7 linked regions of the Mus musculus genome follow. The protein of the gene in region 2 interacts with the protein of the main gene of each other region in a pairwise test. Links are inferred from orthologs where the notes say so. Each region holds a gene or a part of one and is shown on either strand. Other genes may lie near its edges. The genes, in order: Pelo, Flna, Rflna, Hspb7, Casr, Myoz1 and Fabp1.

Evidence for each region.
Region 1: the proteins of Flna (region 2) and Pelo interact in binary tests that used the Homo sapiens proteins (3 or more experiments, as listed by UniProt). The link is inferred for Mus musculus from reciprocal best matches to the Homo sapiens genes FLNA and PELO.
Region 3: the proteins of Flna (region 2) and Rflna interact in a two-hybrid assay, tested with the Homo sapiens proteins (2 studies listed by BioGRID). The two-hybrid records come from large-scale screens. The link is inferred for Mus musculus from reciprocal best matches to the Homo sapiens genes FLNA and RFLNA.
Region 4: the proteins of Flna (region 2) and Hspb7 interact in binary tests that used the Homo sapiens proteins (3 or more experiments, as listed by UniProt). The two-hybrid records come from large-scale screens. The link is inferred for Mus musculus from reciprocal best matches to the Homo sapiens genes FLNA and HSPB7.
Region 5: the proteins of Flna (region 2) and Casr interact in a two-hybrid assay, tested with the Homo sapiens proteins (2 studies listed by BioGRID). The link is inferred for Mus musculus from reciprocal best matches to the Homo sapiens genes FLNA and CASR.
Region 6: the proteins of Flna (region 2) and Myoz1 interact in binary tests that used the Homo sapiens proteins (3 or more experiments, as listed by UniProt). The link is inferred for Mus musculus from reciprocal best matches to the Homo sapiens genes FLNA and MYOZ1.
Region 7: the proteins of Flna (region 2) and Fabp1 interact in binary tests that used the Homo sapiens proteins (3 or more experiments, as listed by UniProt). The two-hybrid records come from large-scale screens. The link is inferred for Mus musculus from reciprocal best matches to the Homo sapiens genes FLNA and FABP1.

What each region holds. Positions count from the first base shown.
Region 1 is NC_000079.6:115,087,423-115,091,698, reverse strand, and holds Pelo (protein pelota homolog), read left to right. Parts: upstream 1-1,540; 5' UTR 1,541-1,779; coding exon 1,780-2,505; intron 2,506-2,737; coding exon 2,738-3,169; 3' UTR 3,170-3,344; downstream 3,345-4,276. UniProt on the Homo sapiens protein: Component of the Pelota-HBS1L complex, a complex that recognizes stalled ribosomes and triggers the No-Go Decay (NGD) pathway.
Region 2 is NC_000086.7:74,243,507-74,248,488, reverse strand, and holds the start of Flna (filamin-A), read left to right. Parts: upstream 1-1,954; 5' UTR 1,955-2,052; coding exon 2,053-2,425; intron 2,426-4,982. UniProt on the Homo sapiens protein: Promotes orthogonal branching of actin filaments and links actin filaments to membrane glycoproteins. Anchors various transmembrane proteins to the actin cytoskeleton and serves as a scaffold for a wide range of cytoplasmic signaling proteins.
Region 3 is NC_000071.6:125,001,742-125,006,587, forward strand, and holds the start of Rflna (refilin-A), read left to right. Parts: upstream 1-1,706; 5' UTR 1,707-1,826; coding exon 1,827-1,997; intron 1,998-4,846. UniProt on the Homo sapiens protein: Involved in the regulation of the perinuclear actin network and nuclear shape through interaction with filamins. Plays an essential role in actin cytoskeleton formation in developing cartilaginous cells.
Region 4 is NC_000070.6:141,422,745-141,425,810, reverse strand, and holds the end of Hspb7 (heat shock protein beta-7), read right to left. Parts: intron 1,933-3,066; coding exon 1,753-1,932; 3' UTR 501-1,752; downstream 1-500.
Region 5 is NC_000082.6:36,559,149-36,564,116, reverse strand, and holds the start of Casr (extracellular calcium-sensing receptor precursor), read left to right. Parts: upstream 1-1,982; 5' UTR 1,983-2,263; intron 2,264-2,314; exon of another isoform or gene 2,315-2,687; intron 2,688-4,968. UniProt on the Homo sapiens protein: G-protein-coupled receptor that senses changes in the extracellular concentration of calcium ions and plays a key role in maintaining calcium homeostasis.
Region 6 is NC_000080.6:20,653,444-20,658,282, forward strand, and holds the start of Myoz1 (myozenin-1), read right to left. Parts: upstream 3,098-4,839; 5' UTR 2,989-3,097; intron 1,924-2,988; 5' UTR 1,906-1,923; coding exon 1,833-1,905; intron 360-1,832; coding exon 181-359; intron 1-180. UniProt on the Homo sapiens protein: Myozenins may serve as intracellular binding proteins involved in linking Z-disk proteins such as alpha-actinin, gamma-filamin, TCAP/telethonin, LDB3/ZASP and localizing calcineurin signaling to the sarcomere.
Region 7 is NC_000072.6:71,202,499-71,205,988, reverse strand, and holds the end of Fabp1 (fatty acid-binding protein, liver), read right to left. Parts: intron 2,903-3,490; coding exon 2,810-2,902; intron 1,086-2,809; coding exon 1,035-1,085; 3' UTR 955-1,034; downstream 1-954.

The sequences.
Region 1 (4,276 bases), on a different chromosome or scaffold from region 2:
AGGACGGATTGTTCATGGTGGTAGTGGGTGGGGCTAATCCGGCCTGGCTCTGAATGCCAGTTACATGATTTTGAGAACATTTGTTAACTTCCTCCTAACTTCGTTTTATTTATTTATTTATTTATTTATTTATTGTTTCAAATTAGGGTAGCATTTTCCTTATAAGAGTGAGAAAGTGCTTGAGAAATTTTCAAAAGTTGACAGTATTTCAGGGAAAACCTTTCATTCATTAAGAGTCCAGGAAGGTCTACTTTCTTGCTTTAGTGAGACCCGTGCCTGGTTCGGTGAAAGGCTTTAGAGGAACAAAGCAATGTGAGTTAGAGGCTCTGTGATAAGAAGATGGTAAATTAGATGGGAGGGGGGTGCGGAGTGGGGGGAGAGAGGATACAAAGCAAGTTAAGGTGCAAATTTATACTGGAGTCTTGGACAACCACCACCACCCCCGCAACACACACCAACCTCTAAGAAAGATGGCTGACATCAGTTAACACGATTAACCCTCCCTTTAACCTCCTCTCCTCAATTAAGGCTCTGCTTTAAAATCCTTACACAAAACGCAGTGAGCGAGCCTAAGTGGTCAGGATTTCTCTGCTCCCCCCACTGTCTTCATTCAGAAAGAGACTTCTCTGTATTTCCATCGCCACTGTACCAAAGGGGATGGGAGAAACGGAATGGATTTTTGTTTATTTGTTTTTCTTTTTCTTTTCTTTTCCTTTACAACCAACTCTTTGGCTCTTCTTTTGGGGTGGTCATATTAGATTAGCTTATCTTTACTTCCCATATCCTCAACTTTTGGCTAGTCAGTGGCAGGGAAGATCGAGCGCTAATCTACTGCAGTCCGGCTCCCACACTGAACGCCTCAGAGACTACTGCGCTGAGTCGGCCAACTTTGGATTCTGGGATTCCCAGGACATCAATCAGGTCAAGCTACATAGAGGTCCACCAGGGGTACATTCCACGCATTCCACTGCTCTCTCTGGGCTCTGTCCTTTAACATCTGGGTTAACTGGATCGTGCAAACAGGGTAACAGGCGCAGAAAACAGCTGGACACGTTGCTGAGCCCAGACTGTACGTGACTAGTTCTTAGAAACCGCTTCTGGATCTCTCTGAGCCAACAAGCTCGTCGGTCTGAGTGCTGGTAGGGAAAGAGCGAGCAAAGCCAGGCAGAGTTTGAACTTCGCCGGGGATGGGGGGGGCAAGTCTGAACTTTTGAGGGCGCTTTTCACTTTTATATAAGTTCTGAAGCTGGCTTCACGCTAAGGTGCAGAATGATAAATCCAGCTTAAATACATATGTTTGCATTCACGTACTTGGCATGTGCTCGCACACAGGGATGTGCCGGGAAAAGCTTAGCTTTTCAGAGCGCTGACCGCCTCCTTTGACGTTTATCTAGGGCGAGCCTTTCCTTTTACTGCGCCTGCGTGCGCGCGCCGCCGACAGGCCCCGCCTCTCTGGTAGGGACCCACAACAGACTTGCGCCGGGAGGCGGGCTGCGCCTGCGCGATCGCCGCGTCAGCCGGTTTCGCGGGGCCGGCGACTGGAAGTCCCGAGAGTTGACTCGTGCTGAGCGTGAGGTTTGCCGCGCCGCGCGTGGGCCAGCGCGCGGAGACTTGAGAAAAAGCGTGGGGTAAAAGTGCTGTCCCGAGCTGCAAGAGTTAGAGGTAGTGTTTCCTTCCGGGCCTGAGCCCGCCGCCCCTTCCCTGCCCCGGCCCCCCCTCCTGGGGACACCCCCCCCCCCCCTAGCGTCCCCTGTTCTGAACTGAGCCCCTGCTGAGGTCATGAAGCTCGTGAGGAAGGATATCGAGAAGGACAATGCGGGCCAGGTCACCCTCGTCCCCGAGGAGCCCGAGGACATGTGGCACACCTTCAATTTAGTGCAGGTGGGCGACAGCCTGCGCGCCTCCACCATCCGCAAGGTCCAGACCGAGTCCTCCACAGGCAGCGTGGGGAGCAACCGTGTCCGCACCACCCTCACCCTTTGCGTGGAGGCCATCGACTTCGACTCCCAGGCCTGCCAGCTGCGGGTGAAGGGGACCAATATCCAAGAGAATGAGTATGTCAAGATGGGGGCTTACCACACCATCGAACTGGAGCCCAACCGCCAGTTCACCCTGGCCAAGAAACAGTGGGACAGTGTGGTTCTGGAACGCATCGAGCAGGCTTGCGACCCGGCGTGGAGCGCTGATGTGGCAGCTGTGGTCATGCAGGAGGGCCTGGCCCACGTCTGCTTAGTCACGCCCAGCATGACCCTTACCCGGGCCAAGGTGGAGGTGAACATCCCCAGGAAACGGAAAGGCAACTGCTCCCAGCATGACCGGGCCCTGGAGCGGTTCTATGAACAGGTGGTCCAGGCCATCCAGCGCCACATAAACTTCGAGGTTGTAAAGTGCGTTCTGGTGGCCAGCCCTGGATTCGTGCGAGAGCAGTTCTGCGATTACATGTTTCAGCAAGCTGTGAAGACGGACAATAAAGTGCTCCTGGAAAACCGCTCCAAATTCCTTCAGGTAAAAATCTTACCCAGAGAGAGTTTCCTAATGTTTTAGAATGGGGAGGAGCCGAAGGCTTGGCTGGGACTATAAATGAGATTGTAACTGAACCCTGCAGTATCTAGCACTTTAAAAAGTTGTCCAAGTCCTTAAACAGGTTAGGCCTTATTCATGTGTTTGTCAAATGTCATCGTGGGCTGATTAATGGATACTTTCAGAGATTCTTTGTCTTTTATAATTGTGATTCTAGGTGCACGCCTCCTCTGGACACAAGTACTCCCTGAAAGAGGCCCTCTGCGACCCTACTGTAGCGAGCCGCCTTTCAGACACAAAGGCAGCGGGCGAAGTAAAAGCCTTGGATGACTTCTACAAAATGTTACAGCACGAGCCCGACCGAGCGTTCTATGGACTCAAGCAGGTGGAGAGGGCCAACGAAGCCTTGGCCATAGACACTTTGCTCATCAGTGACGAGCTCTTCCGGCATCAGGATGTGGCCACCCGGAGCCGGTATGTCAGGCTAGTGGACAGTGTGAAGGAGAATGCGGGCACCGTAAGGATATTCTCTAGTCTCCATGTGTCGGGGGAACAGCTGGGCCAGCTGACGGGAGTAGCCGCCATTCTCCGCTTCCCAGTGCCAGAACTTTCTGACCAAGAGGATGATTCAAGTTCTGAAGAGGATTAAGACTGGCAGTTAATAGTTTCTTCCCTGGTTTTCTCAGCATCCTTGGCAGGTGCCAGAGCAGCACTTGTTGATCCTGCTGGGGTTTCTTGTGTGTTGGGTTCACATTAAGTGTTTTATGATTTGGTGGGCAGGACATGTATTCAAATTAAATAAATCACGACGATGTCCAAGCTTATGTTTTCTAGTTCGAGTTACTGTTTTTTAAATACCTGGAAACAGCAACTTGTGTAGTTAAGAGAAAAAAAAAAAAAAAGAAAGGCTGTTTGAGGGTTTGATGATGAAACCCCACATACCAACTTTTCTTGGTTTTCCTCCTAAAAGGCTTTTATCTCTTTTGATGTTTATTTCCATTCGACTTGGTGTTTCCGAATTTCATTTCATGCTCCACTTTTTTTCACCTCTTTCTAGCTTCCCCCTCCCCTCCCTCACCCTTCCCCCCTCCCCCCCCCCCCCCCGCAAGATTTTGACTACATTCACGATTTGAAGTGGTAGCCAAACAGTAAATAAAGCCAGTCTAAATGTTATTTTCTTTCAGGGATTTGTTAAACATCATTTTAAAGATCTGCTTGTTGCTCTTTGTGGTTCTAATCTATTTTCTGTAGAGAAATTATTTTCAGACAGTAGAGGTTTGATCTCCTAGACATCTCAGCATAGTCTCATCAGGCCTCTACAGCTGAGGTGAGAGTGTGGCTTGCTTACTGTGTGGCTGATGAATGGGGAAACTGGACGTTTCTTGACATGGAAATGGTACCATATCTTCCTGTGTTTTATTTACTATGGCTTGTCAGTGTTAAATGTTCCCAGGGTGCCTGTGGCATTAGTCTGTGCGCTCATGTTCTTACTGGACTATGCTATATTTGAAGAAAGCATGTTCAGGGAGTTGAGTGATTCATGAAGTTGTAGTCTAGTAATCCTTACTGTAGATGAGGAATTTCTACAAATTACCGTTTAGAATATTTTGAACTACATAGCTTGGATCTCAGAGAGAGGGAACCTTGGAAATTAGGGATTGCAGCTTGATCTTTTACAAGCCTCAGTGTAGCACATGATTAGGAATTCTGTCTGAAGTCTGGATCACAGATGTCTTTATCCTATATACTTAAGGTT
Region 2 (4,982 bases):
ATCAGGGGGACCAAAAATATTACCCTAATTGTGTCTTGAATAACATGGCTGGAAGTTTCCATTTGGGTTATCCCTGCACAGTTCTGCCATCATGTCCCCCAACTCAACCTTTGGCTCACTTGGTGCAGATATTTATGCAGGTGACTGGAGGTAGAATGGGGGGGAGGGATTCTGTACTGAAAATGTTATTTGACTGGCGATATCATAGACAATCTCAAGATGACTATGCTGAAAGGTTCTGCCCATTGTGATCAAAGCCCTATCATAGCCCTACCACAGGCAATGAAGACACTCCAGGCTGTGGGAGAGTCAACCATATTTGGGCATGACATGTTGGTCAACCCAAGGCCTCTTTCAGCCACTGGTCTTTATCTATCTATCTATCTATCTATCTATCTATCTATCTAATTAATTTTATGTGCATAATTTTGCCTGCATTCATGTCTGTGTGAAGGTGTCATATTCCCTGGAGCTAGAGTTACAGACAGTTGTAAGCTTTCATATGGGTGCTGGGAATTGAATCTGGGTCCTCTGAAAGAGCAGCCACTGCTCTTAACCACAGAGCCATCTCTCCAGCCCCGGCGGCCACTGGTCTTAGAATTGAGAAGTAGGGACAGAAGCCTGTCTTTCTGGAAAAACAATTTAACATTCTGGAGAGGCTTGAAGTACAGAGTAAGTAGATGGAAAAGTCTACCACGGGAAAGACATAGGTAAGATGAATCCCCTTAACTAAAGAGGATGGTTGGGAGTATCCCCTACAGTTTTCTTTTTCTGTATCTTCGCTCCTTTCTGTCCCAGCACAGCATCCTCATCACTATCTCCAGAGAATATCTATCATTAAATTAACTTTTAGTGAGTAGCTTCACACTACTTAGGGAACACACTCAGGCTCCTTAGCAAGCCTTGATGTCTGGTGACTCTCCTTTCTTCAGTAATCTGGGACCCTCTCCCTGAGCCCCTCCACATCTCTAGGGTCACAGCAAGGCTTGGGACTGTTCAGCCAGAGAAGACCTCTCCCCCCAGAATTCCTCAGGGCCCAAGGTAGAACAGTGAGTATGGCAGGTACAAGGTGTACAGATCTACATGCATCACAGGGCAGGCAGGCAGGCAGGCAGGCAGGCGCCCTCTGATTGTGTGCATTGGCATACCCTGGACCTTTGGAAAGCTGCTTGATCCTGTAGTGCTGGTGGCCACTTGGCCCAGTGCTGGCCCCATTTCCTCGCGGATGGAACTAGGCAGTAGAGAAGACGACGGTGGGAATGGGCCTGTGCAGGTGTGCAGGCCAGGGTCATGGAGACTGGGAAGACCAAAGGAGATGGGTAGGGAGTGCCAGGGCTCTGTGGGTGTCTATGTTAGGTGATGAGAGCCCTGTCTGACAGCATACAAAGAGCTCTCAGCAGCGTTAGGCGCTCTGGAAGGGTTCGCTCACAGGATTGCTTTACTCTGCTGTGGATCACACTGTGGCTGAGAACCCTAAGCTCGGGAAGAATAGAGAATGTAGAAGAGGGTACAGGGTCAGGGCGGAGCCCAAGTGATACCGGGACATTATTCGCTCCGCCTTCTGCAGGGACCTTGGGGAAAGAAAGTCCCTTGTAAGGGTGTGCCTGCTGGAGCTGAGCAATTCTGTGACAGAATTGCTCAAGCGTTCCTAGATCTGGGGTCCGTTTCCTGTAGTACTGTAGCGGATGTTGCCAGACCTTTTTGTGCTCTTTGGGGCTCAAAGACCCTTTCTGAAGCAGCGGGGCTGAGTTGCTTTTGGCGGAGTGCAGAGGCAGCTTCGGGGGATGGGGGCGGGGGGCGTTGTGGGGCATTCCAACGGGAGGGGCGAGGTGGGGCGGGCGCGGCCCAGAAGCCCCACCCAGAGGCTCCGCCCCCAAGGAAACTTTGCCTCTGGCTCCGCCTTTCGCATACATTTAAAGGGCTCGCTCTTTCCGCAGTGCAACCTCTGTTCTGTGCCTCGTCGTTCATGCTCGGAGGTGCCTACTGCTTTAATTAAAGGGCCGTCCCATCGGCGAAGCTGCAGCACCGCCCCTCCGTTCCTCGCGCCTCAAAATGAGTAGCTCTCACTCCCGCTGTGGCCAGAGTGCGGCGGTTGCGTCTCCGGGAGGCAGTATCGATTCACGGGACGCGGAGATGCCGGCTACCGAAAAAGACCTAGCAGAAGATGCACCGTGGAAGAAAATTCAGCAGAACACATTCACCCGCTGGTGCAATGAGCACCTTAAGTGCGTAAGCAAGCGCATCGCCAATCTGCAGACGGACCTGAGCGATGGGTTGCGGCTCATCGCGCTGCTCGAGGTACTCAGCCAGAAGAAAATGCACCGCAAGCACAACCAAAGACCCACTTTCCGCCAGATGCAGCTCGAAAATGTGTCGGTGGCGCTTGAATTCCTGGACCGTGAGAGCATCAAGCTCGTGTCCATAGGTGAGGGCACGGGCTACACTGGGGCGCTGAGTGGGTGCGGGCGTGGTCGCAACAAATTCTTCCTTTCTTCTCCTCTAGAGTCTCTCCTAGTTGTCTTCCCTAGCTGCTGCACACAACCAAGGCTACCACTAGGCCCCTTAGCCGCCTTGTTCTTTGAGGTCCTCGAGAACAAAAGGCTGGCCTGGCGAGCATGCGAACCGCTACGCGCCCCCGCCCGCAGCGCCTTGCTGGCCTGCTCCCAGGCTGAGCTCACATCCTCTGTAGGCCGCGCCCCCAACGCTGCACCCGAGGTGGGACAGGCACAGACTAGGCTTCTGCCTCTGAGAGCCGCACCCCATCCCTGGGATACCCATGCTTTCCACCTACAACAATTTTAAAAGTACCCTTCTAGCATTTGGCTGCCTCTGCAGTTCTAAAGTGAAGGTTGTAGCTTGTTCTCCTATTTATGTAGGACTCCCTCAACTTCTTGCCCTGGAACATGCTTCCCCATTGGAGATAGTTCAAATCCCCAGTTTCTTTCTTTCTTTCTTTCTTTTTTTGCTGAACTTGGAGGGGGGCAAAGAGATATACTGCTGGCAAAACTGTACTCCAGGTGTAATGAGTGTGGTTGACTAAAGGCACGAGCACTTGGTTGTTAGCTTTGCTGTCTATCATGGATCAAATTCTTGTTTCATTGTAAACCTTGGTTTTGTACATCTAGAATGCAGAGATTGGTTGAAAGGTGCTCCAATGTGCACAGGGTTTACTGCTAGTCCAGTTCCCAAGTCTTTGAACTGGAGAGGTTGGCATTGGTATTGTCTCTTGCAGGATCCCATGCTTTTCTCAAAGTAGGGGCTGCTCATGGACAGGCACCAGAATTGTTATCTTGGGAATGTGGAACAGGGAGAGTAGAAGAGTGGACCTTTACTCCATAATACAAAGGGTTTTCTATTATCCTTACAACTTTGGAATGGTACATGCTAGTTAAAACAGCGAGGGACCAAGGCCCTTCAGAGAGCAGATTTTAAGTGCTGAGTTTTTTTTTTTTTTTAAATGCTCATAGAGGTGTGCCAGTGGATGTATGAAAACTCACCCCTAGTCCCAGCCTCAGTCTAGCCAGCTGAGTCATTTCTAAGTCTTGGAAGGGGGCAACCGGATGTGGGGAGGCAGGCCACACCCCAGCTCTTTAGGGGGGGTCTCCTCCCTCCTTCTTTCTCCCCTCCTTCTTGTGAGCTGGCTGGAGCAGGCCTAGTTCCCAGAGCTTTGCCATATAAGGCAAAAAAATGTTGGAAAGCAGCAGTGATTAGGGGAGGGAGGGGGCCGGCTGGCCCAGGGGCTGGGGATAAGGGGTGGGATGGGGCGGGGCCATCTTACCAAGCTGCTTCCCAACACTGGGCCCTGATCCTCTCCTCTTGGGAGGGATATGAAGCTGGCATAGCTCACCTAATCAGACCAGGGGAGGGACCAGATGTACCTTACTGGGATGATGGGTCTGTCTTTGTTCTTCCCCTTGGAGACTACTAAGGACCTATGATCTCCTTGGGGGTTTTTGTGATGGGCCTGTGGCTTTGTTTGGTAGGGTAGGATCTTTGTGTCCTTGACTTTTTTTCAACTTCCTTTCCCATCCTCTCTGTATTTTGGAACAATGAAAAACATTCTCGAAGGGCCAGGACCAGTTTGTGAATGGGAAAGATCACTCTGTTTGAGAGGCTCAGATAGCAGTTCTCCAGGTGCTTTCCCACTGCACTGGAATGTTACCTGCTCTCTCAGTGATATCCTAGTTTTCATGACCATTCTCCATTGACTCACTAGATAAACATTCTCTGATTACAGGGAAGTCCTGTAGGGTTTCCAAAGATGAGCCTTAGAAAATGCTACTCACCATAAGCCATCCACCCTTGAGGAGGTTAAAGAGGTGGCTTTGGGTGGGGCTCAGGGGAGTTGCCATAGTGATGGGTGTTTAGGGTGCCCGCCCTAACCACTTCCTTTGTGGTAAGCCTGGTGGCTGCCTGAGACCTAGCCCGTTAGGTGGCAAGTAGGCTGGGTGGTGAGTAGCATCTAAGCAGGTTATGCTGAAACAGCAGGACTTAAGAACACCACCCAAGGCCTCTGCAACAGGGGTTCCCAAGTGCTCTTTGGCACCAAAGGCAGGCTAACCCAGCCTACTAAGGACCTATGGTTTCCTTGGCGGTTCTACTCTTCCTCTTTCAGCTGGGCAATGGGGGCTGTCACCCCAGAAGTTCCCTATAAGCCTCAATGAGTCAGAACTAAACATAGTTCCTTTGACTTGTGGCCCCCTTCCCCAAGCTAGCCCTCTTTTGTTCCACCTCCTATTTACTAGTTTGGGGGTAGAGAGACAAGGAAGTAGCAAAGGGTGGAGCTCGCACCCTTTTACACAAGGATCCTTGCCAACACTTCCTCTGTCTTTTCCCCCACTCTGGAGCAGCAGTTGTATTTCCTAACTACTCTTTGCCAACTTAGCCTTCCTCTTCTTTGGTTCCAACCCAGCTTGAGGTCAGGGGCCCTGTTTCTTGGCCAGTTAGGGCTGAGCCACTTCTCCCAATTCCCATAGATCTCA
Region 3 (4,846 bases), on a different chromosome or scaffold from region 2:
ATTAAAGGCATGTGTCATCCCTGCCTGGCTCACCCTGCACTTTCAAAGTACTGGTCCTTAACTTGTCCTCAGGTCACCTTCGGTGGCTCCCAGAAGGTTCTCTGGGGGATGTTGAGAGTTTAAGGGGTTAGGGCTTTTTCTAGAGAGTAAGTGGTATCTAGTAGGCTCTAGCACCCAGCACTGGGGAAGGCCATATTGTCCTTTACATTCCAGAGAGGACTGCCACCAATTTTATTCTGTGAAAGACAGCAACCATTTCTAGCTAAAGGGCCCTGGGTGAGGTTTCTTGTGGGTTCCATTTGGGCAGCCAAAACCCCAAGATCATTCCTACATGACAGATCTGGGCCGTATGCTTTTCTAATAACGGGGCTCAGCCTGCCGCTCCACTGTGACAGCCTCTGGGGCCAGCTTGCTCTCTTCTGCCATGGGGCCTTGTACCCTGCTATTCCCTTGACCTGCAATTCTGTTCAAGTGCTGCTTCCTCTGAGAGGCCCTCCCTGATTGACCGGCACAACTGCCTCTGATTTCTTTCCCCCTGAGGACTTGGCCAACCTACAGAGGAGGACACACCTCTAGGGGCCACTCTGAAGCTGGGGTCCCTCCCTCTCTTCAGCAGACATGGGGTAGATGGCCTAGCAGGGGATCACTTGTCTCCTTTGCTATATGCCATCCTGACATCTTCATAAATAATCTGCAGGTGTCTGGGCCTCTGTGTCCAGATGCAAGGCTGGAGGCAGGTGGTGGGTGGGATGCTCTTCAGTCCCTGCCAGCAAAGCAGGCAGAATGGGAACCATGTGTTCAGCTCTGGTGGTCAAGTGAGACGGGGTGGAGGCATAACTTTGTCCCCAAGTGAGACCTTTTAGAGCAGTGGTTCTCAAACTGTGGGTCGAGACCCACCTCCCTTGCAGGAAGGTGGAACGCCCCTAAGACCATCGGAAAACAGGTGTTTATATTATGGTTCATAACTGTAGCAAAATTACGCTTCGGAAGTAGCGACAAAAATCATTTCATGTTTGGGAGTCACCACAAGGGAAACCCCTGACAAAAGTAGGTGTTGGGGGCATCTGGAAGTGTCCCCGCTCCCCTCCCCCCTCCCCACTTTTGGGCAACTTCCTAACCATCTCTGTAGTTCAGTTTCCTCCAGAAAATGGAGAGCGTCTGCAAGCAGGCACTCACAGGCCGACTGGGAGGATTAAACAGAGACAGGAGGGCTGGCCAAGGGAATGCCAGCTACACATCAGGTGTCCTTCATTCCCCGCGCCCAAGTGGCCCCAGGCTTCCCTGTCCAGACGAATTCACCGAAGCAAATGGAGATGAGCACTTTGGTGGCCCCTAGGGCAGATCTTGACCCTGGGTTCTTAGATCATTCGGTCCCTCACTGTAAATACACCGCCCCACCCCCATCCCCAACCCACAGGTAGCTGAAGGTGCTTTTCTTGGAGACTCAAGCCAGGTGAGGGACGCTGCAACCTGCAATGGCCCGGCTGATGGCTGAGCGTCCTTGCTGAGGTGGCTGTGGACCCAAGTCAGCACCACGGAGGGTGGGTGGGTGGGTGGGGGCAGTGACTTTTGCAGGCTGGAGACTTTGCAGTCCTCACCCTGCCCTGGCCCAGTGGGTGGCCAGGGGGGCGGGAGCGAGAGGCGCGGGCGGAGGAGGGCGGGGAGGGGGCGGTGCCTGGGAAAGGAGGCTCAGCTGGCGGCTGGAGGCATTTGCATCAGGAGCGGGTCTCAGCTGGAGCCACAGGCCGGAGCCTCCTTGTTGCTCCTCTGGCTCAGTGGTGGCGGGGACCCGAGCTGCTGGGGCCCACGCCCCGCGCCCGCCAGTCATGGTGGGTCACCTGCATCTGCAGGCCATGGGGGACACGCGGGAGCAGAGCCGCGACGGCTTGCTGGACAGTCCCGATTCAGGACTGCCCCCCAGTCCCAGTCCTAGCCCGCCCTTCTACGCCCTGTCGCCAGGCACCCTGGACACCCGGACCACCACTGAAGCTCCAGCGGTAAGACCTGGGAATTGGGCAGTGGGAGGGCCGTTCAGAAGCCAGCATGGTCTCATCCCTCTTCTGAGGCAGACGTGGAGTGGCACCCGACTCACCAGGACCTGTAGGCTGGAAGTTTCGGGGTGATTGCTGTCAGGCAGGAATACAGAGTAGTATCCCGATGCCCCAAACTCTACAGACTTACAAGGGGGGCCTGTTGTGGCTATCTGTCCGTGGGTCCCGTCGCTGCTGCCACCGCCTCCTACCTTATTGACCTCCCAGGGCTTCTCAATGGAGGCATTTTTTGCAAACCCAGCTCGGGTCGAGAGCCTCCGTAGGTTTCGTCTTATAGGTGTAGAAGTGGAACTGTCCCCGGAGCTGGGACTCTAGGGGTTGGACACTCTGCCCAGGTTGCTCTGGCGACGGGGCAGAGGGAGCAACTTGAAGAAAGGAGTGGTGGAACAGAGCAGAGGTTGAACATGGCCCTGTGGCTTGATGGCCTCGGCCGGGTGTGTTAAGGACTCTCCCGCCAAGGTGTGCGTGCAGGGCGGCGCTGGAAGCATTTGAGGCTCCAAGCCACGTCCAGCATCCTCCTCCAGACATTTGACCCGATCCAGGGCACAATGTGGTTGTCGGAACTTTTCTTTAAATCTCCCCAGGTGACTCAAACATGCAAGGAAGTTTGAAGCCTGTCTTGAATTGAACTTCTGTGTCTCTTTTGGGAGGGTGGGTGGAGCAATCAAGGACTTTAGAAGTTAATATAATCGAGCAATGCTGTTCTTAGGGAGGGGGGAAAAAACTAGGAACCTCAATATGGATGTGATGGGGGAAGAAATTCCAGGGAACATTTTTGGGGATGGAAAGAAGGCACCAGGAAGAGGTCGCTTCGATTCCCTGTGACCCCGAAGCCTCCTTCTGCAGGGCATTCAGGATACTTCCCATGCCTTCTGGGTCAGCCAGAGGCAGTAGTGAGAATAGCTCTGCTGCTGTTACTGCTGCCTTTCCTGGCTAAGTAGGCGCCAGCTATGGAGCTATACTGCCCTGGTCTGTGACTTTGTCTGGGCAGGGAAGCCTGGGGGCTATTACTCAACGACACCTGGTAGATGACATTTCCCTCAAGCCAGGGATGGGTCTCCCCACTTCTGTTTAGTCCTCACAGTCTGTGAATGCTTGCTTGCTTGCTTGCCTTTGTTCCTCATGTTCTGGAGTCAGTCGAGGCGCAGAGATGGTTAGGAAGTTACCCAAAGTTGCCCAGCAGAATTGACCCCAGGAACCTGGCTCCAGTGCACATTTAAATCTGCCCTGGTTTTCACTGTGTAGTGCGTTAACGGCTTCTTGACTATTTAAGCAGAGAAATTAAATGTGTAGCCATAGGGTCCAGGTCATCAAGAGAGGAGGTAGTAGCCATGGCAACCCCTCCTCAGGTTTGGGGGTCCAGTTGTGGCCCCGCCCACTTGCCTATCTACCAGTTCCTACCCACAAGGGTCCCCACCTTCTTGAGTTCCATTCCTTCCCTACTGTATCATCTAAGTGCCAGCATCCTGGTCCCCTCTGAGGCCCTAACTCTGAGGCCTAGGTATAGGCAGGCTGACAGTTGCCAATCAACTGGTTGGTCTACTGTGTGGGATAAAAGAAGGATGCCCACATCTTGGGGAGCCAGTTTCAACTGGAAGAAGCTATTGGAAGGTGGTCAGGTGTCCCCTGGTGTCCTTACATAGCACCATCGTACTAGTGGGGAGCTACGGTCACCTTCACTGTGTGACACGGAGCCAGGAGTGAATGGCTACCATGTATGTAAGATTGACTGCTACAGACAGTCAGGGAATGACGCTGCAGAAGCCAAGGGTAAATCAGGGAGTGGATTTTAGGCAGATGGGGCGACAAACTTGTCTCAGTCTAAGAGGACGGCACATGCCAATGTCCTGTGGTAGAGCTTTAGAGAAGAGGAGGAGAATCTGGGCCAGGCTCTGCTAGGCTGAGGCTGAAAGCTAATGCTTTGTTTTTGTTTTGTTTTGTTTTTTAAAAAAACAGTACCATGAGCGCCCAGGACCCCCAAATTAGAAGCCTCTTTCAGAGATGTAACTGGAAAGTAGCCGTGTGTGTGTGTGTGTGTGTGTGTGTGTGTGCCTGTGTTGCCCTCCCACGTGGCCCCAGGAGAGCAAGATGTATTGGCTGGAATGGGGGCTGTTTGCCTGCCACCTTCACCCCAAGAATGCTCAGCCGTCCAGGCAGGACTGAGACGAAAGCAAACTGACCCTGGCTCTGCCACCCTGGTCTCCCAAGTTGGATTTCTGTGCCAGATGATAAACACCAGGTGCCCCCGCCCCCAATACTTCCATCACAGAGCTGTGGTGTGTGGGGCAGACATGGCGGGAAGCCAGGTCCTGCTGGCTGAGAACAGGTCTGTGTCAGAAACAGGCTCCAAACACTAGACAAGCAGTTTGGGCACTGCCCCCTCCCCTGCCCCCGGGCACCCCTCCTCATCTAGTTTTATGGCCCACAGGGGACTATGGGTGACTTTTGGGATCTGACCAGGGCAGCTCTCTAGGTATTTGCTTAGACCACAGCCCCTTCTATATGTGTGTGGGGTGGGGTGGGGGCGGGGCTCACTGTTGAATGACAGGGGGTGACAAGAAGCAGAGTGGGTTAGACTCTGCCTCCCCAGGGTCTCCTGGTTGATTCATAAGAAAACCTGGCTTCAGGACAGGATAGAGAGCTGCTGATGACAGGCTGGACTATCAGGAAGGGCTGTTCCCTCCCACCTCCCCCCGAGTGGGCCCTGGTCCAAGCGGAGAGGGAGGGGCATGGTAGATATGACTACTTTGGGGGCCTTCTGATGTGTTTTATAAAAATGAAAAAAGAGCCAAGGG
Region 4 (3,066 bases), on a different chromosome or scaffold from region 2:
ATTTCAGTAGCTCCTGGGGCTGGGGGGTGGGTAAGGAGCGAGGGGACCCCCCTCCACCCAGAACACGCCAAGCCTACATCTATCCAGCACCCCACCCTGCAGCGGCCCTACCCCCTGATTCCAATTGGTTGTATCTTCGGAGCTGTGTGAGCTTGGGCCAATCACTTAGCTTCTCTGGGCCTCCGAGGCTTCATCCAGGAGAAAGGCTACGTTTGTAGCCCTTGGCTTGTGACAGTGCAGAACACAGTGCTGGCTGAGTCCAGCTCAGACATTCCTCTTGAACTAAAGAATGAATTCAAAGCGAAGGGCAGGCAGCCTGGAGACAGGTGCTGTAAGCGTTTTTGAAGAAAATCGCGGGGATTTCTGCAAGCGGGTTTGAGAATAGGATACCTCTCCCACACATGGAAACTTTAAGCTTCCTTCCCCAGCCGAGAAGTCCTCCCCATCCACTCCGTCCCTCCTCCTAGGTCGAACTTCAGGTGGGGTCTCCACAAGTCTGTCATATTGTCCTTTTATTGTGTACAGGTTATAGACTAGACTCCCACGACCCCACCCCACCCCCTCCTCCACAGGGTCCTAAGACTGTAGAGGCCCCTGGGACCCCGATTAGCAGTGAGCTTCCCCCTTTACACCCGATTCTACACGCAGAGACTGAGTCAGAGCCCAGGTCCCCCAGGGTTAAGGCTGACAAGGGTTTTTGCCCTGAATTTGGGGGCCAGAAGAGATCTGGTTTGGGGTTCTTCTTGTGGCCACCATCTGCAGTTAGGGCGAAGCAGGGCATGTGGCTCAGGAGAGGTGGAATGGGGGGGAAGTGTCCCCAGTACACAGAGGGGAGAGTCTGAGAGCCGCTGAGGCAGCGCTGGCTTCAGAGACAAACCTGGGCATCCAACTGGCTCAGAGACGCCAGTCTCCATTGATGAAAACAGAGATGCTAACTGTGACTCTTAGAATGCTTTGAATTGGGCTCCAACCAGTGGGAATGAGTATTTAAGGCATAGGACAATGGCGCGCGCGCGCGCGCGCGTGTGTGTGTGTGTGTGTGTGTGTGTGTGTGTGTGTGTGTGTGTGTGTGTGTGTGTGTGTGTGTGTGTGTACAAGTCCTGGCTCTTCCTCTCACTTCCAAAGAGGACCCTCTCTGCAGGGGAAGCCACCCAGGAGCCCTGGGCTCTGGCCTCATGCACCAGCAGCTGGAGATAGGAGCCTCATGTCATTTTAATAAACCCCATCTAGGTACAGGTGTCTTTGTCTGGTACATGTAGCTGTTAGAGCCTCAGGGTGACAGGTAGCCCTGGGTTTGAGGTTTCGAGAGTTACAAGGAAGGTAACAGTCATGGCTATCTCTCTGGCTTCCCTGAGGCAGTCTACCTAGGCCAGAAGCCCTGCTTGTGGCCAGCCTCTCATTTGCCAGGAAGGGGCTTCTGGTCCCCTGCCCTGCAGAAATGCCATTGAAGCCGCCACTCTGTGTTAGACTCTGCCCTCGTCTTGCTCTCCAGGTTGGTACCTCAGCCCCTCTATTGTGAACTTAGATAGGGAGGGTCTATCTGGGTGAGAGCAGACAGGTCCCTGGACTGCGTTGGATGGAGAGGGATGCCCTAGTTTGGGGCAGGGGTGACCCACCTGGGGCCTGAGAGTGTGTGGAGTGACTGGGGCCTAGGCTGAGATGTTCTGAGGGGTCATTGTCAGGGATCATGGTGACCTCACCGGCAGGCCAGTGGGGGAGGAGATAAGGGGGAGGCCAGGGGTGGAGAGACCCTCAGATTTTTATCTCAGTCCGGAAGGTCTGCTGGACATGTTCTGTGTGGGGGTGGCGCCGCGCCCGGATGGTGAGGCTACCATCCTCTCGAAGGGCCGAGGTCACCGATGTTGGGTCCACATCCTCTGGTAGTTGGCACTTGTGAGCAAAGGTGTTCATGACTGTGCCATCAGCTGCCAGCTGGGGGACAGATGACAGGTCAGGAATGGCTGCCCTAGCCTTAGCCTCACCCCAAAATCAAGCCAGAGTCTCGTCTTTGCTCTCTGTCTTCAGTTACCCCACTGTGTGATGAGGGGTTCAGCTATCAGGGTACAAAAGATCTGGCCAGGGGTGTTGGGGTGCCCAGGATCCCAGGGCTGTGCAGAGGGACTCAGAGGCCTTCTAGGGGTCCCCAGGGAAGCTGGGTATAGGATGGGGCTGGGTGGGGCTCAATAAGGGTTGAGCTTCCACAGCAGTGACTGGAAGTCTGAGATTCTTGAGCCATAGTGGGGAGATGACACAGCTGTGCCCTCTGGCTCCCCAGGCACCCTGAGTGTCCACATCAGGGCCCCTGCCCTCCCCCACGAGCAGCCCAGCACATAGTGTTCAGTGGAGCTGGCTGGCTGAGTCACTCTTGGGATGTGGGGCTGGCACGTGCGGCCAGTGGCGCAGTCCTCGAACCCCTGGCAGGGTTTCCCAGTGTCCAGCCTGAGTTAGGAGAGCTAGCCAGGCTTGGGGGTGGCAGGAAGGTGTTGATAAATATCCTCTAAGAATATTTAAGAATATCCTTAAGCACAGGCTTAAGAGCTGGGATAGCTGCTGGCCGTGCTCCTCTGATGATCTAGGTACCCTGAGACTCCGGGTAAGGTACATGAGGTGGAGGGTGGTTGTGACTCAGCTTCAGGGCTTTCTGCTCAGCCTCAGTCCCAGTATGGAGGTGCCACGACAGGACCCAGACTTTTGGCTCTGGGATGAAGGCGAGGTAGAGATGTGGTAGGAATGGACCGTGTTGCCCAGGTTGGGTGTGTCATTGCCACCTCCTCTACCCTGTGCCAGGGAGCTGTCCCTCCTGCACCGTGGTCACTTTCCACCATGGTGACTGTCCTCATCTCCTCACCCCCCTTACATCTCCATCACTCAGGTTCCTCTCTGACCTCATCCCAGGATCCCTTGCCCATCCCTAGAGGGTCCTCAGGTGCCATGGCATGGTCCCCAAAGACAGGTTCTGTGACCCTTAGGTTGGAGAGGGACTGTAAAGGTCCCTGGCCCGTGAGCCCACTGGGAAAGGGCTGTAGTTTACCCTGGGTACAGACAGGGAAGGAACATAAATCAGGG
Region 5 (4,968 bases), on a different chromosome or scaffold from region 2:
AATGTAGGGCAGTGTTTTCCAAATTTCAAGTATCAGTAATCCTTTCCATAGGTCATTTCAATGACTCTCCTACTTATGTAAACTTAGCTCAAAATTACCACAAAAGAAATAGGATTGAAAAGTGAAGAAAAAGTGACGATATTAAATTCTACTTAGGAGCTGTTGCCTAGCAAAGGCTCTGAGGGAGAGTCAAGCTCTGTTGTTAAATCAAAAGATTAGCAAACCTTAGGGAGGTGTAAAGATAAATAGCACAAAAATCATCCTTCCTCCTTGACCTAATCCACAGGAACAGAATTAGAAAAGATGCAACTTCTTTGACTGGTAAGACACTGTTCTTAGAGTCAGGGTCCCACGCTACTCAAAACCAAGCCCTGTGGAGGATGCATATTCATGCACGCTGTTCAGGTGGCCACGCCCTTCACGTATTCAAGCTGACTGAGGGTAAGCCTCAACTCTACAGCTTCATAGCTCTTCCATCCTCCATACCGTCACCTCCACGGGCTCCAGTCTCCCATGTAAAATGGGCATAGCAATTGCTCCTGGGAGTGTCACTTAACCAAACCCCAATTCAAACATTATTGGAGAGAATTAATACAACCTGATCATCTTGGGGTCTCTCTCTCAGCCGCTGGGTTGAATTATGCTGTCTGGTCCAAGCAACCATATTGTTGAGATTCCATGGTTGATTTCTCCCTGTTGTGGTTAGGAAACACTATCTCATACCAAACATCATGGGTCCCTGCCTCTTACAATCTTCCTCCCCTCCCCGATCTTTCATAATTTCCCATGAGCCTTAGGTGCAGTTGTTTTATGGCAGGTGTATCAGTTAGGGTTCTCCATAGTCCCTTATTTTCTGTATTGTGTAATGAACAGTCTCTATCTGTTGGGAAAAAACTCCCTCCCCCCTTTATTTTTTAAAAAAGAACTACACTTATCTGTAGAAACATGTCTGCCATGATATGAGTTCCCCTCTCAAACCTAAGACTTCTCTAAGCACAAGTAGTTAGGTTTATGGTACCAGGCATGAACTCATCCCTATGGAGGGAGTCTTAGTTGATTAGACAATTGATGTTTATCCCCATGATAAAAGTACCATTATTGGACTACTATGGATGTCTGGCTGAAATACTCATTGTGGTTCATAGGAATAAACACTATCTGTTCTAAGAAGACTGGGAGGCACCGAAGTCTCCATGCTTGCATTGTAACGGTTGGGTAGGATTCCATTAAGCCACACTACCTTAAGTTCTTTAACCTATTTCCTATTGGCAGGTTCGGTGTTGTTCACTTGTTGCTTTTATTTTGGTGTGTGTGTGTGTGTGTGTGTGTGTGTGTGTGTGTGTACACATTCATGTGTGCTGGCCTTTCACCTTACTCCAGAACAATGTCTGTGGCTTTATAAACACGTTAGCGCCTTAAGGTCTCCCATTTTGATGTAGGAGTCCTGGGATTGCAGACACGCTATGCAGCAGGTTTCGTATGGATCCCAGGAGCTTGAACGTAGCTCTCCTCTGTGCTTGATGGGCATAGCTATAACGCCATTGTTTAAATATTATTATTTTATGTTGAAAATGAACCTGTTATATATATTTGCATCGCAACATTATTTTATTCTGGAAATTACTACAAAGTACTGCAAAAATTGTTTTGGCTGTTTCTATTTGTTTAGTTTGTGTTCGTGTGTTCGTGTGTTCGTGTGTGTGTGTGTGTGTGTGTGTGTGTGTGTGTGTGTGTGTTGGCTATCAAATTGCCTACACAAAGGAGTTGATAGGCTTTAGGGCTGAAAAGCAAATGCTGGGTTTCTACCAAATAAATTGATTTTTCCATTTCATTCAAGTATTATGATGAGTGGCCAGCGCTGAGCCAGAGCCTGAGCACAACTGTGAGCCAGGCTGGCCTCTCCTACCTTCAAGAAGCACACCCTGATGCTGGGGCAAAGCTTACCAGATCTCTGGGGTAGTGGAGGGAGGGGGCTGTTTGTGTACAGCCCGCTGAAGCAACGCTGGAGTCTAGCAGAACGCCTAAGAGTGTTTATTATACTGTGAGTTCTGGATCTTTACTAGGAAAAAAGTGCCCCATCCTCTGGCACAGTTGCCTTGTGATCCTCTTTCCATCTCCAGGGAGGAGCGGGAAGCGTGTGTGCTGCGGGGAAGGAGGGGGTTGTATCTTCCCAGACCAACAGCAGGAGCAGGATCGGAAGCCTGGGATGGCTAGAGCCTCATCGCAGACAGGAGGACTCCAGCGCTAGACCTCGGTCTCTCAGGTACCAAACCCGACAGGTGGCCTAGGGGGAGGGACGTCGCGCCCGCAGCGCCGGAGCGCACAGCTCAAAGGCTGACCTGAGAGATCGAGGGAGCCTGGGAGATTCCAGGCGGGCTAGGGCACGGACTGTAAGTGTATTTGGAGGGATTTGGGGGCCATAGACCCCAGGAAGCACGCAGGCGAGAGCAGGCAAGGGGCGGAGCCCCGAACCGGGCCACAGTGGCCGTCAGAGGGTCTGCTGGGAGGCAGTGGCTTGACCCAAGGCGAACAGGGAACTTTAGAGGGTAGCACGCTACTCAAACAACTTAACTTGACATCGCAAGCCCGGCAGACTGGTACTGCATCCTGAGCTCAGCATCCAGCTGGTCCTGGGGAAACAGGGCCAGCAGGTGTTCCTGTGGAAAGAGCCACGACAAGGACTCCAGGTAGGACTTGGGGACACCAGAAGTGCGGGCATAACGTACCCGAGTGGCAGAGGAGGCTTTGATGAGGTTTGGGGGCAGCGAACAGTAGCAGGTCAGACCTGGGAGCCCTGAACGCTGGGCTTCAGGGATAGCGGATCGGATGCCTACAAAGATGAATAGAGTTCACAGTAAAAAAAAAAAGTGGGGTGTGTCTTGTGCCTCCGGTTTATTTATCCCTGTGACAGTCAAAGAGAACTTTTCCCACTGACAAGGAGAGAGGTAGCTTTCTGGCGCGGGCGTGTGTGTGTGTGTGTGTGTGTGTGTGTGTGTGTGTGTGTGTGTGTGCGCGCGCGCGCTGCCCTACCAAAGTACTTGCCTCAGTGGCTCCAAATTAGGGTGTCTGGTCACCAGCCTCCATATTCCTTGGAGGTAAAAAAAAAAAAAAGTAAGTTGATGGAGTTATTGTTTTGATATTGTAGTTTTTGATTAACAACACACACGGTAAACTTGGAAATAACACCAATGCATATCTAGAGACCAGTTTCCTTTCTAACATGAGTTTACTCATTGTGCTTTCTCTCTTCAGTTCTGAGTCTTTTATCTCCCTCCTTCCTCTCTTTCTCAGTATTCTGAGAAAGAGGCATGCTGGGGAAGAGCTCCTAACAAGTTCCCACCCGTTCTTCTCCAGGATTCCTCAGTGCAGTAAAGTGGTGCGGTTCACTGTTGGGGGAGGTGAAGGAGGGCTGTCTTGCCAAACTCTCTGCCGCCTAGAATTCATTCCCCCTCCCATTTGGACTCCAGGCTCCAGGTTCCCAAAGTGGCATGCTTGGGGTGTTCCCTCTGGAGGACTTGGAAAAGTGAGCTTTTAAATTGGCCCTGTGAACAGGGCAAGGCTTTGTGATAGGCAGAGAAAAAAAGAAAACACAAAGGAAGAAATCAGGGAGACCAGGGAACAGTGAGGGAGCAGGAGACCAACATCTTTGAGAGCAGAGGAACCCCGGGCCAGCCCCTGTCATTCAGGAGCTGACCCTGGGGAGTTTTGCTAAGGGAACACATGTGGTCTTCATGCTGATAACTCACATCATCAACTCTTTTCCATAATCAACGAATCAAACCATGTTTGTAGATTAAGACAGAGTAATTGGTCTTATTTTTTTTTACCGGTATAGGAGGTTCTTTAGAAGCTGTGTAAACTGTTTAAAGTAACCTCCATCTATGCCAGTGTCCCTTGTTTTCCTCATTTTTCCTTTGTTGAACTGGATCCTGCAAAGTTCAGGCATTAGCTGTTCCCTCTCCTGCAGACTTAAGGATGACGTTGTAACTAGAGAATGGATTGGGCTGGGTGCAGGTGCAAGGCTGATGAGGGGGTAGTGCATGACTTATAAACAGAGACACAAAAATGTAAAAAACATCAGTATTCACTTAACGTGTTTGTAGAGCCTAGCTACACACCAGATCCTGGGAACAAGATGGTCAATAAGACCAGACAAGGAACCTGCCCTCCTGGTGCTTACAGATGCTTGGGGGAGGGCAGCTGTCAGTAAAATGATTATCGACTATGTAATTGCAAGCTAACATAAACCCTCTGAGGGAAAGACACAAAGTCCACTGTGGGTGTACATAGATGGGTCTGTGAGACTTGGGAAGGCTTTCCCAACAGAGCTCACTGACCCTGAGGTTCTAGGGTGATCAGGATGAAGAAATCTGATTTTTGAGGTGAGGTCAGACCGTTTTGATTAGGAATAGCATTTGGCTGCTGGTCACCAAACAGACTGGCTGCTATGAAACTTTTGTCCCTTGATGTGTGTCCACGTGCTGTTGGTGTTACCGGCGTGAGGGGAAAGAGTGTCTTGTCGTCATAGGCTGGCTGTGTTGTCTGTTGGCCGTGGTTTTTTTCATTGCTATAATTCTTGCTTTTGAATGAAATGTTCAGATTAACTTAACTCCTATGATTTCATTTTATTGTGTACCATAAAATGTACACTGCTGTATAAATGTGAATCATGCACCTTCCCATTGAGAAGGTAAATACGGAGATAATACTTCTGCTGCTTATGTGGTGACAGTTTGGCGTTATCACTGAATAGCATCCCAGGTTAGAATAGCTGTGGCAGGTGGACTGCAAATATTGCCCCTCTATCCCTAGCTACTGCTCTCATTGGAAGGATGTGTCACACACACACACACACACACCCTGGGAACTAATTCCTAGCCTTGTATACTCGAAGCTCCAACTCTGCCTTGAGCCACAGCTTCAGCTTGTGTATTTCAGAAGAGAGGGGTATTTAAAAGATTTAGAGTT
Region 6 (4,839 bases), on a different chromosome or scaffold from region 2:
AGAAATGGACTGTTACCCACCCTAGACTGGTTGGGAATGTAATATATGTAGCAGCTTATAAAGAGCTCCTCAGTTCTCATGGAGAGAAGGTTGGTGGTATTTGGGGAATTTGGGGGGCTACTGAGAAGTTGCCGGGAAAGACACCGGGCTTTGCCAAGAGTGGTTGACGTCCATACTCACCATTGAGCTGTCAGAGAAAACATCGGGGTGATTCTCATAGATAAATTTCTCCACCCGCATCTGCCGTAGCTTGAACATCTTGGAGCCTCGGTTGGTAAGAAGGGACAGCTCCTCCAACATCACATCCCTTGGGACACTGATCTTCTTGCCCAGGTTCAGGCCTGAGCTCTCCCGGCCACCTTATCCAGGAGGTAGAGAAGAATCAATAGAAAGAGGAAATGAGGGCTTTCTGGACTGGGAAGGGAAGCATCCCCCACAGCTGAGTATATTCTAAAAGAGACCATTTAGGGAGCGGATGCTGACCGGGTCTGTATGGTTTACAAGTTTTTGTTAGTCTTGTGTGTCTTTTAAAAGATTTTTCAAAAATCTATTTATGTTTTATATTATGACTGTTTTGCCTGCATGTATATATGTGTACCAAATACATGCCTAGTGCCCATAGAGGTGAGAAGACGGTTCAGATGCCCTGGCACTGGAGTTACTGGTGGTTGCGAGCCACCTTGTATGTGCTGGGGACTGAACCTGGATCCTCTGCAAGAGCAGCAAGTGTTCTTAACCACTGAGTCATCTCACCATCTCTTCAGAGTGTGTGTGTGTGTGTGTGTGTGTGTGTGTGTGTGTGTGTGTGTAAGTGAGTGTGTATTTGAGACAAGGTCTTATTATGTAGCACTGACTGGCCTGGAATTCACTATTAGACTGATTTGGCCTTGAACTCACAAGATCTCCCTGCCCACTGTCCCCTTCCCTCTGCACCTTCCCCCTTCCCCCTGCCTCTGTCCCCTGTTCCCTACCCCTGCCCCTGCCCCTGCCCCTGCCCCCTGCCCCGGCTCCTTCTGCCACCTCCTAAGTGCTAGGATTAAAGGCATGCACTACCATTCGTAGCCCATAAGAAGTGGTTTTGTTTTGTTTTGATTTCCTGGCTTGGAGGTAGAGACAGTACAGGGGAACAAAGGGAATGACATATAGGGTTGGAATACTTCAGTGAAGAGGTGACCCAGCCAAGGGGCATGGGCGTGGAGTGAAGGAGAACAAGAATAAGAGAACACCACAGACAGTAGCCAAGGGAGAAATTACACCCTGGGCCGGGAAAGCTGATAGGCCAATCCCACGTGCAGCTTCACACCTCTAAACACAGATCCTGCTCTTCTTTCCTTTCTTTTTTTCTTCAGTGAACTCTCACTCCAAAGGTATCAGGGGAACTTCACACTTGGCAACTCGTGCGCATCCCCAGGGAGTGTGGCTGTGTAGTTTCCTATTTTAAATGCTTACACAAGTTCCCTAACACTTAGAAAGAAATAAGGAAGTTAACCATTTGGTGAGGCCTAGCCTGTGTTCTCACAGGACTTGACTGACTATGGGTCCTGCTAAAATGTCCAGTATCTTAGCAGGGTGTTGTCTCAGAGTAATCAATGGGAAGGATGGGAGGATGCAGAGTGGATGCTGAGTTCTTCCTGTGTCTTTCTCCTGCCCCTTCTCACCCCTCCCATCATCCCGTCTCCCACACCCTCTACAGCTGCAATTCCTCTTGTTTTTTTTTTTTTTTTTTTTTTTCACTCTGACTTATATCCTGTCTTACATCATTTCTGGGACTCTTGAGTCAGGCATGCTCTTAAAAGTCCTGCATTGGGGCTCTACAAGCACGCACACCCTACCTCCAGTGAGCTCCATAATCAGTTTGCTTGACTTCCTCCTCTTGTTAGGGGCCGGGGTTCCTGAGAGTGGCATGGTGGAGGTGGATCTGACCTGGAAGGAGAGATGGAGTGGGAGAATGAGCATCCGCACTACAGCCGTACACTTGGGATTAAGGACAAAATTTCTTCAGTTTTTTTTCCATGTGCATGTTTGCATGTGTGTGTGCACGCATGCATACGTCTTTACAGAAATTAGTATTCCCCAGAACGTAAACTGTCACAGTCTTCTGTTTTCTTTGGAAGCAGGACAGGAGGAAGAACTGTACCCTTTCCTTATCTCTTACCAAGGGCTGTGTCCACTTTCCATAGCTCCTGTGTGGGCATCGGAAATACAGCTAGGGCCGAAGGGGGTTTCAAAAGCAACACTGGCAGAGCAATGCACTCAGGCTTCCTGGGCCTGGCGTGACTTAAAGTCCTTATTTGTATCGGGATATCAGACTACAACTGTGGCTCCAGACTCTAGTCTCCTCCTTAGGCTTCCCTTGGGGTCCATGGGCGTAAAGCAATGTTCTGCTAATTAGTGTTGAGATTCAGACGAAACCTTCTCCATAGGAAGGAGAGGTTGTTGATCTTCCAGGAGGCCAGCTGGAACGTGGCCCGAGAGGTCATGGGTATGTTCCTTGTTCCTTCAGGCACTCCGATCCCAAGGTTCAGGGCTGGAGCAGAGAGCTAGCTAAGGGCATTTGAGCTGTGGCAGATGTCAGCTCAGCAATATAGTACGTGGAAGTAGAGAATTGTGGGGGGAACAGAAACACAGGAATAAGATCTGGCCGTGGATGGCGACAAGATAAGAAAATGTATGCACACCATCCTCTCCCTAACAGCCCTGCTATTTTCCGTGGTGTCCTGTCTCACAAACACAACCACACTCTACCAACTTAGTGGCATTCCAAAGCACCCTTTCCCATCTGTCAGGTACCTCCCCACATATCTTAATTCCTCCCAACTCCTTAGGTCCCTTTCTTTCCAACTCTGTAACTCCAACTGGACTGTTGGCAGCTGAGCAGAGATGAGAAGAGAGACCATTCCCTGAGGATGGAGAATCACAGTTGCAAACAAGGAGCTCAGAAGAGTGGGCTCCAGCCCCTTCTTCCGGTAGATAGAACCATAGACTTACCAGCTGCTCAGTTGGTGGTCGGCTCTCCCCGGGGTCCAGCAGCTTCGGAGGACTAAGCTGCAGTGACTAGAGAACCTGAGCCGGGGCGAGCGAGCGTAGGGGCAGCACCGGCAGTGGGGGAGGGAGGAGGTTATTAATAGAGTTGATGAACACAAGCAGCTCAAATGGCACAGGGGGTACTGAGACCCTGGAACCGAGAGCCTGCCCTCTTTGCCTGAGGTTCAGGAAGAGGGAAACAGGGCTACAAAATGTTCCCACCAGACTGTCTGAGCCAGGGATCAGTCAGCCGAAGGGGTGTGCCTCCTCCTTGCCTTCTTTCTCCAAAGAAGCATTTCAGGAGGCCGAGAGGGAGCAGATAGTGGTGGGTAAGAATTAAGAGTAGGTATAGGAAAAAACAAAACAGAAAACATGAATTGTGGGCTACTCAGGGCCATTCCAGGCCAGGGCTGGAGGGGACCCATGAGTGTATTTGTGGGTGGGAGGGATTAAAGCCCTAAGTTGAAGATAGGATGGAAATTTTCACAGTGGCATTGCTTCTAACTTCCTGAATAGGTTGGCTTTCTGTCTAAGAGGGTTAGATCTTGACAGGGTGAGGAACCAACTTAGTGAACCCTAGTGCAGATGATCTTACAAAGGCCCGTGGGTACTCTCAACCTGTGGGTCCTGACCCCCATGGGGGGTCAAACAACCCTTTCATAGGGGTCAATGTCAGATATCTCAAATATAGATATTTACATTATAATTCATAACAGTAGCAAAATTACAGTTATGAAGTAGCAACAAAAATAATTTTATGATGCCAAGCATGGTGGGTGGTGCACACCTTTAATCCTAGCACTTGAGAGGTAGAGACAGGTAGATCCCTGAGTTCCAGGCTAGCCTGGTCTACAAAGTGAGTTCCAAGACAGCCAAGGCTACACAGAGAAACCCTGTCTCAAAATAATAATAATAATAATAATAATAATAATAATAATAATAATAATAATTACTACTACTACTACTACTAATAATAATAATAATAGGGGCTGGAGAGATGGCTTAGTGGTTAAGAGCACTGAATGCTCTTCCAGAGGTCTTGAGTTCAATTCCCAGCAACCACATGATGGCTCACAACCATCTGCAATGGGGTCTGATGCCCTCTTCTGGTGTGTCCAAGGAGAGCAATGGTGTACTCATATACATACTATAAATAAATTTTTAAAATGATGATGATAGCAGTAATTTTATGGTTGCAGGTCAACACAACATGAGGTACTGTATTCAAAGGTCACAGCATTAGGAAGGGTGAGAGCTGAAGCAATACCCTGGATCCTCCCTCATCTCCCACTCATGTCCTGAAACCAGCTTGCTCCTGTACCTTTTACTCTTATACGGCTGCCTAAGGAATTGGCTTTTGGGGGTGGGTGGGCATGGGTGTAATTTAGTAAACATATGAAACTATAGGTTTCTTGAGCCCAGCATAGTGATGTATGCCTTTAATCTCAACACCCCTAAAGCACCGGCAGGTGGATCTCTTAAGTCCCAGAGCTATACAGGAAAACCTTGTCTCAAAAATCCTTATGACATTTTTACACATGTGCCATTGGATTGTTCACACTCACACTCACAACCCTTCCTTGCTCCCATTCTTCACAGGAAGCAGCTTCTGAGGCTTCCAGAATGAGCCCTGCCCTCTGTGAACTCCCTGATCTATCCCCATCTTCCTGGCCACACCCTTCTTCCACCCTATTCTTGCCTTATTTATACTGGGGGCTGAAAGTCCTCCCCACACACACAGCAGATGGCTGCTGCCCAGATATATCATCTTTGGCACATTTCCTCCTAAACCAAGGAAACGGGGGAAAAAAACAT
Region 7 (3,490 bases), on a different chromosome or scaffold from region 2:
CACACCTTTTATCCCAGCACTTGGGAGGCAGAGGCAGGTGGATTTCTGAGTTTGAGGCCACCCTGGTCTACAGAGTGAGTTCCAGGACAGCCAGGGCTACACAGAGAAACCCTGTCTCGAAAAACAAACAAACAAAACAACAACAACAACAAAAAGGATATTGGCCTTATTGAATTAGAAGCCTACCATATTATTCTATGGCCTTAGACAGCAGCAGTAATTTTGTTTCCAAATAAGGCCATATTCTGAGTTGCTGGGCACTAGGATTTCAATGTGTAGATTTCTGCTGCCTGCTGTTAAACTCATATCAAACCCCTAGTAGTTTGGGACAATGTAGATTTCAGAGAGTTGCTTCCATTTTCTGCTTTTTGCTTCTGTCCATGTTGTGGGAGGAATTACACCTGTGCCACATCTGTACATTAAGCCCTCCAATAAAAGAAAAAGATGTTAATTTGGTAGTTGAGTGCCCAACCGTTTAGAGCTTGTCCACTGCTGGATGGCCATTTGTGGCTGTGCTCACGGCGGCAGTGGCTCCCCCTTGACAGTTTGGTCTTCCGGATCCCTGTCCTTATGCAGGGACTCTCTCAGAGTCCTGAATACCCTCTTGTTCCAGTTTCTTGCCCATGTGGCTGACAGGCAAAAGGTCCACTGGACACTCTACAGATCTGGCCACTCTTAACATTCCTGACTAGGACACATGAGTTGGAAATCTGTATTCAGGGTGAAATTAAACTACAGATCTGAATATATGGAGTGATGTACACAGATTATAATTTTAAAAAATTATCGGTGATCAAGGATCACTGAAAACAACAGGGTTTGGGTTATACTCAGTGATAGAGTTTATGTGTGAGACCTTGGGTTCAATTCCCAACACACACACACACACACACACACACACACACACACACACACCAATAAAATAAAAACAACAGCACCACAATGAGAAGCCATCAAGGAGAAGTTATTCCAAAAGAAAGGTAACTTTATTGTATTAATTTTACACTGTAAAAGAATATGAAATATAGCCTTGTCTAAATTCTCTTGCTGACTCTCTTGTAGACAATGTCGCCCAATGTCATGGTCTGAAAGTCAAAAGAGAAATTATGAAATATTTTCTTGATGATGAATTGTAAAACAAACAAACAAACAAACAAAAAGTAACCGCCCCAAATAGTCCCAAATGTGCTGACATATTAAACAACTTGAAAAATCCCCATTTTCTCTCGGAGCTGAGGCGCGATTGGCAACCTTTTCTAGAATAGCATGCTGGGTCTCCTCACTTCTCTTGTTCATATGGAGGGAGAGCTGTCTTTCAAAATTTCATTGAGATTTCCTGCACATTAACTACCTGTGGCTGAACACAAGCATATGTACAGTGGGCCACTAGGCTGGAACGTAGTAGGTGCTATCTACTTCCCTCTTACTGTATGGACGGTGTGAATGAGCACACGAGAACACTGAACACACCTGCTCTTTTGTAGGAGTGAGGGGCAAGAGTGTGGGGCGTGAATGTTGTTTCCTGATTGATGCCCCCCTCTCTCCACGGTGCAGGGGGATTTTCACTTGACCAGATGCGGTCACTTAGACAGGGGTTTGCCTTCTGTGACCTGACTGAGGTGCATTTTGGATACAAAGGAAAGCTGGAAGACCTGACCATGAGAGAAACACTATGAATTACTGTAGCGGGGGCAATACATGACCAACAGCTGGGCATGGAGGATGACTGCACGGGAGTGCATACCCAGCGTGTCATTCATTAGCAGCCATAAACTTGATAAATGAATGACTCCACACCAATGCCAAGTGGGCAGAGGTGTTTATTAGGCACCTGGGCTGTGGAAGATGGATGGCTGTGTGGCCCATTGGTTAGTGCTAAGGCTGTTAATCACTCTGATGTCATCAAATAGGAACATCGATGGACATACAAAGCCTCCCTTGTGGAGGTTTTCATCGATGGGAAGTGCTGCTGCAACTTCAGTCGTGAGGCCTCCTGGACAGGATGTCTGCAGACACAGTGAAGTCTGGGACATCTCTGGGTTGAATGGACTTCTGTCCTATGGCCTGAGTGTGAGGTGTGAGGCCCCATGGCCGCAGAAACAGGGCAAGGCCAGCTATGCTCTGCACATGCTGTCCTGTGCCTCAGCACACCACACACCTCCTCACCCATCCCGTTTGCTGCTGCTGGGAAAAGGGTAAGGCCAGGGAGTGGACAAGGAGGAGAGAGGCAGAGGCAGGGGAGTGGCTGACTCTGAAAGTGGAGCACAAGAAGGTGTGAGACACCAGGTGAATTAGAAAAGGGTGCCCCTCCCTCAAGATACCGCTCTTCTATGTGTCAGGGAATCACCCTGATATTCTGCCGTGATTTGACAAGAACAAGATGGCTGCAGGTGTCCTGAGTGCAATCCTCACTGTCTATAGTGTAAACAGCCTCCCTTGGGGTTTGCTTGAGTAATGAACTGCTGTGAGATTAGCCTAAGAGACAGACCCAGGCCAGGAAACCCTGATGCTGCCATTCGACCTGCTCTTCTGGTCTCTGCCTTACTTTCTCCGATTAGAAAAGTGTTGTTCAATAGATCTGATATCTATCAACTCCGTAGTACATATGCATCCTCTTAGGTGGTAGAAGACATTGACAAGAGGCAAGGAAGAGAGAGTCCAGGTCTTGGGGGGAAAGGGTGAAGAATGAGAGATGGCATCCAGCTGTCTCTTATCCTTCACACACACACACACACACACACACACTCACACAAACACACCGTACCGTTCACCTCAAGCACTGGATGGCAAGACCAGAGGGTCAACTTACATTGGTGATTGTGTCTCCATTGAGTTCAGTCACGGACTTTATGCCTTTGAAAGTTGTCACCATTTTATTGTCACCTTCCAGCTTGACGACTGCCTGCAGGGAAGACAGAGGGTGGCCCGTGAGCAAAGGCCTGGCAATGAAGCTAATGAAGTTGGTTCCCTGCATGGTATCAACTGACAAGGAATCAAATGTCCTGTCCCTCTCCAGTTCTTTGGTGCTAAATGGAAATAGGGCATATTTATGAATGAAAGAAAATGTCAAGCTTACCTAAGTGGTTCTGCCCTGGGGGAAAAATCTGAAAATAAAATATAAAATCCCATTTCTCAAGCTTGTAGAGGGAGGAGGTAGAAAAACTCCAATCATCAGCAGCTGGGGGTGGGGGTGGGAATTCATTTTACTTCGGTGGTTACTGAGTCTTTCTTTCTTCCTTTCTCTCTTCCTTCCTTCCTTTCCTTCTTTCTTTCTTTCTTTCTTTCTTTCTTTCTTTCTTTCTTTCTTTCTTTCTATTGTAGTGCCAATTCCAAGCTGTATACATCAAGGACAGTAGTAAATAGAATCATGGCTGGGCACAGTACTTTAAGGCTTTCCAGCACTCGTGAGGCAGGAGCATGCTGGGTTTGAGGCTAGTATGGGCTACATGGCAAAATGCTAAAGGGGGGAAAAGAATGAAAGGAAAGGAAG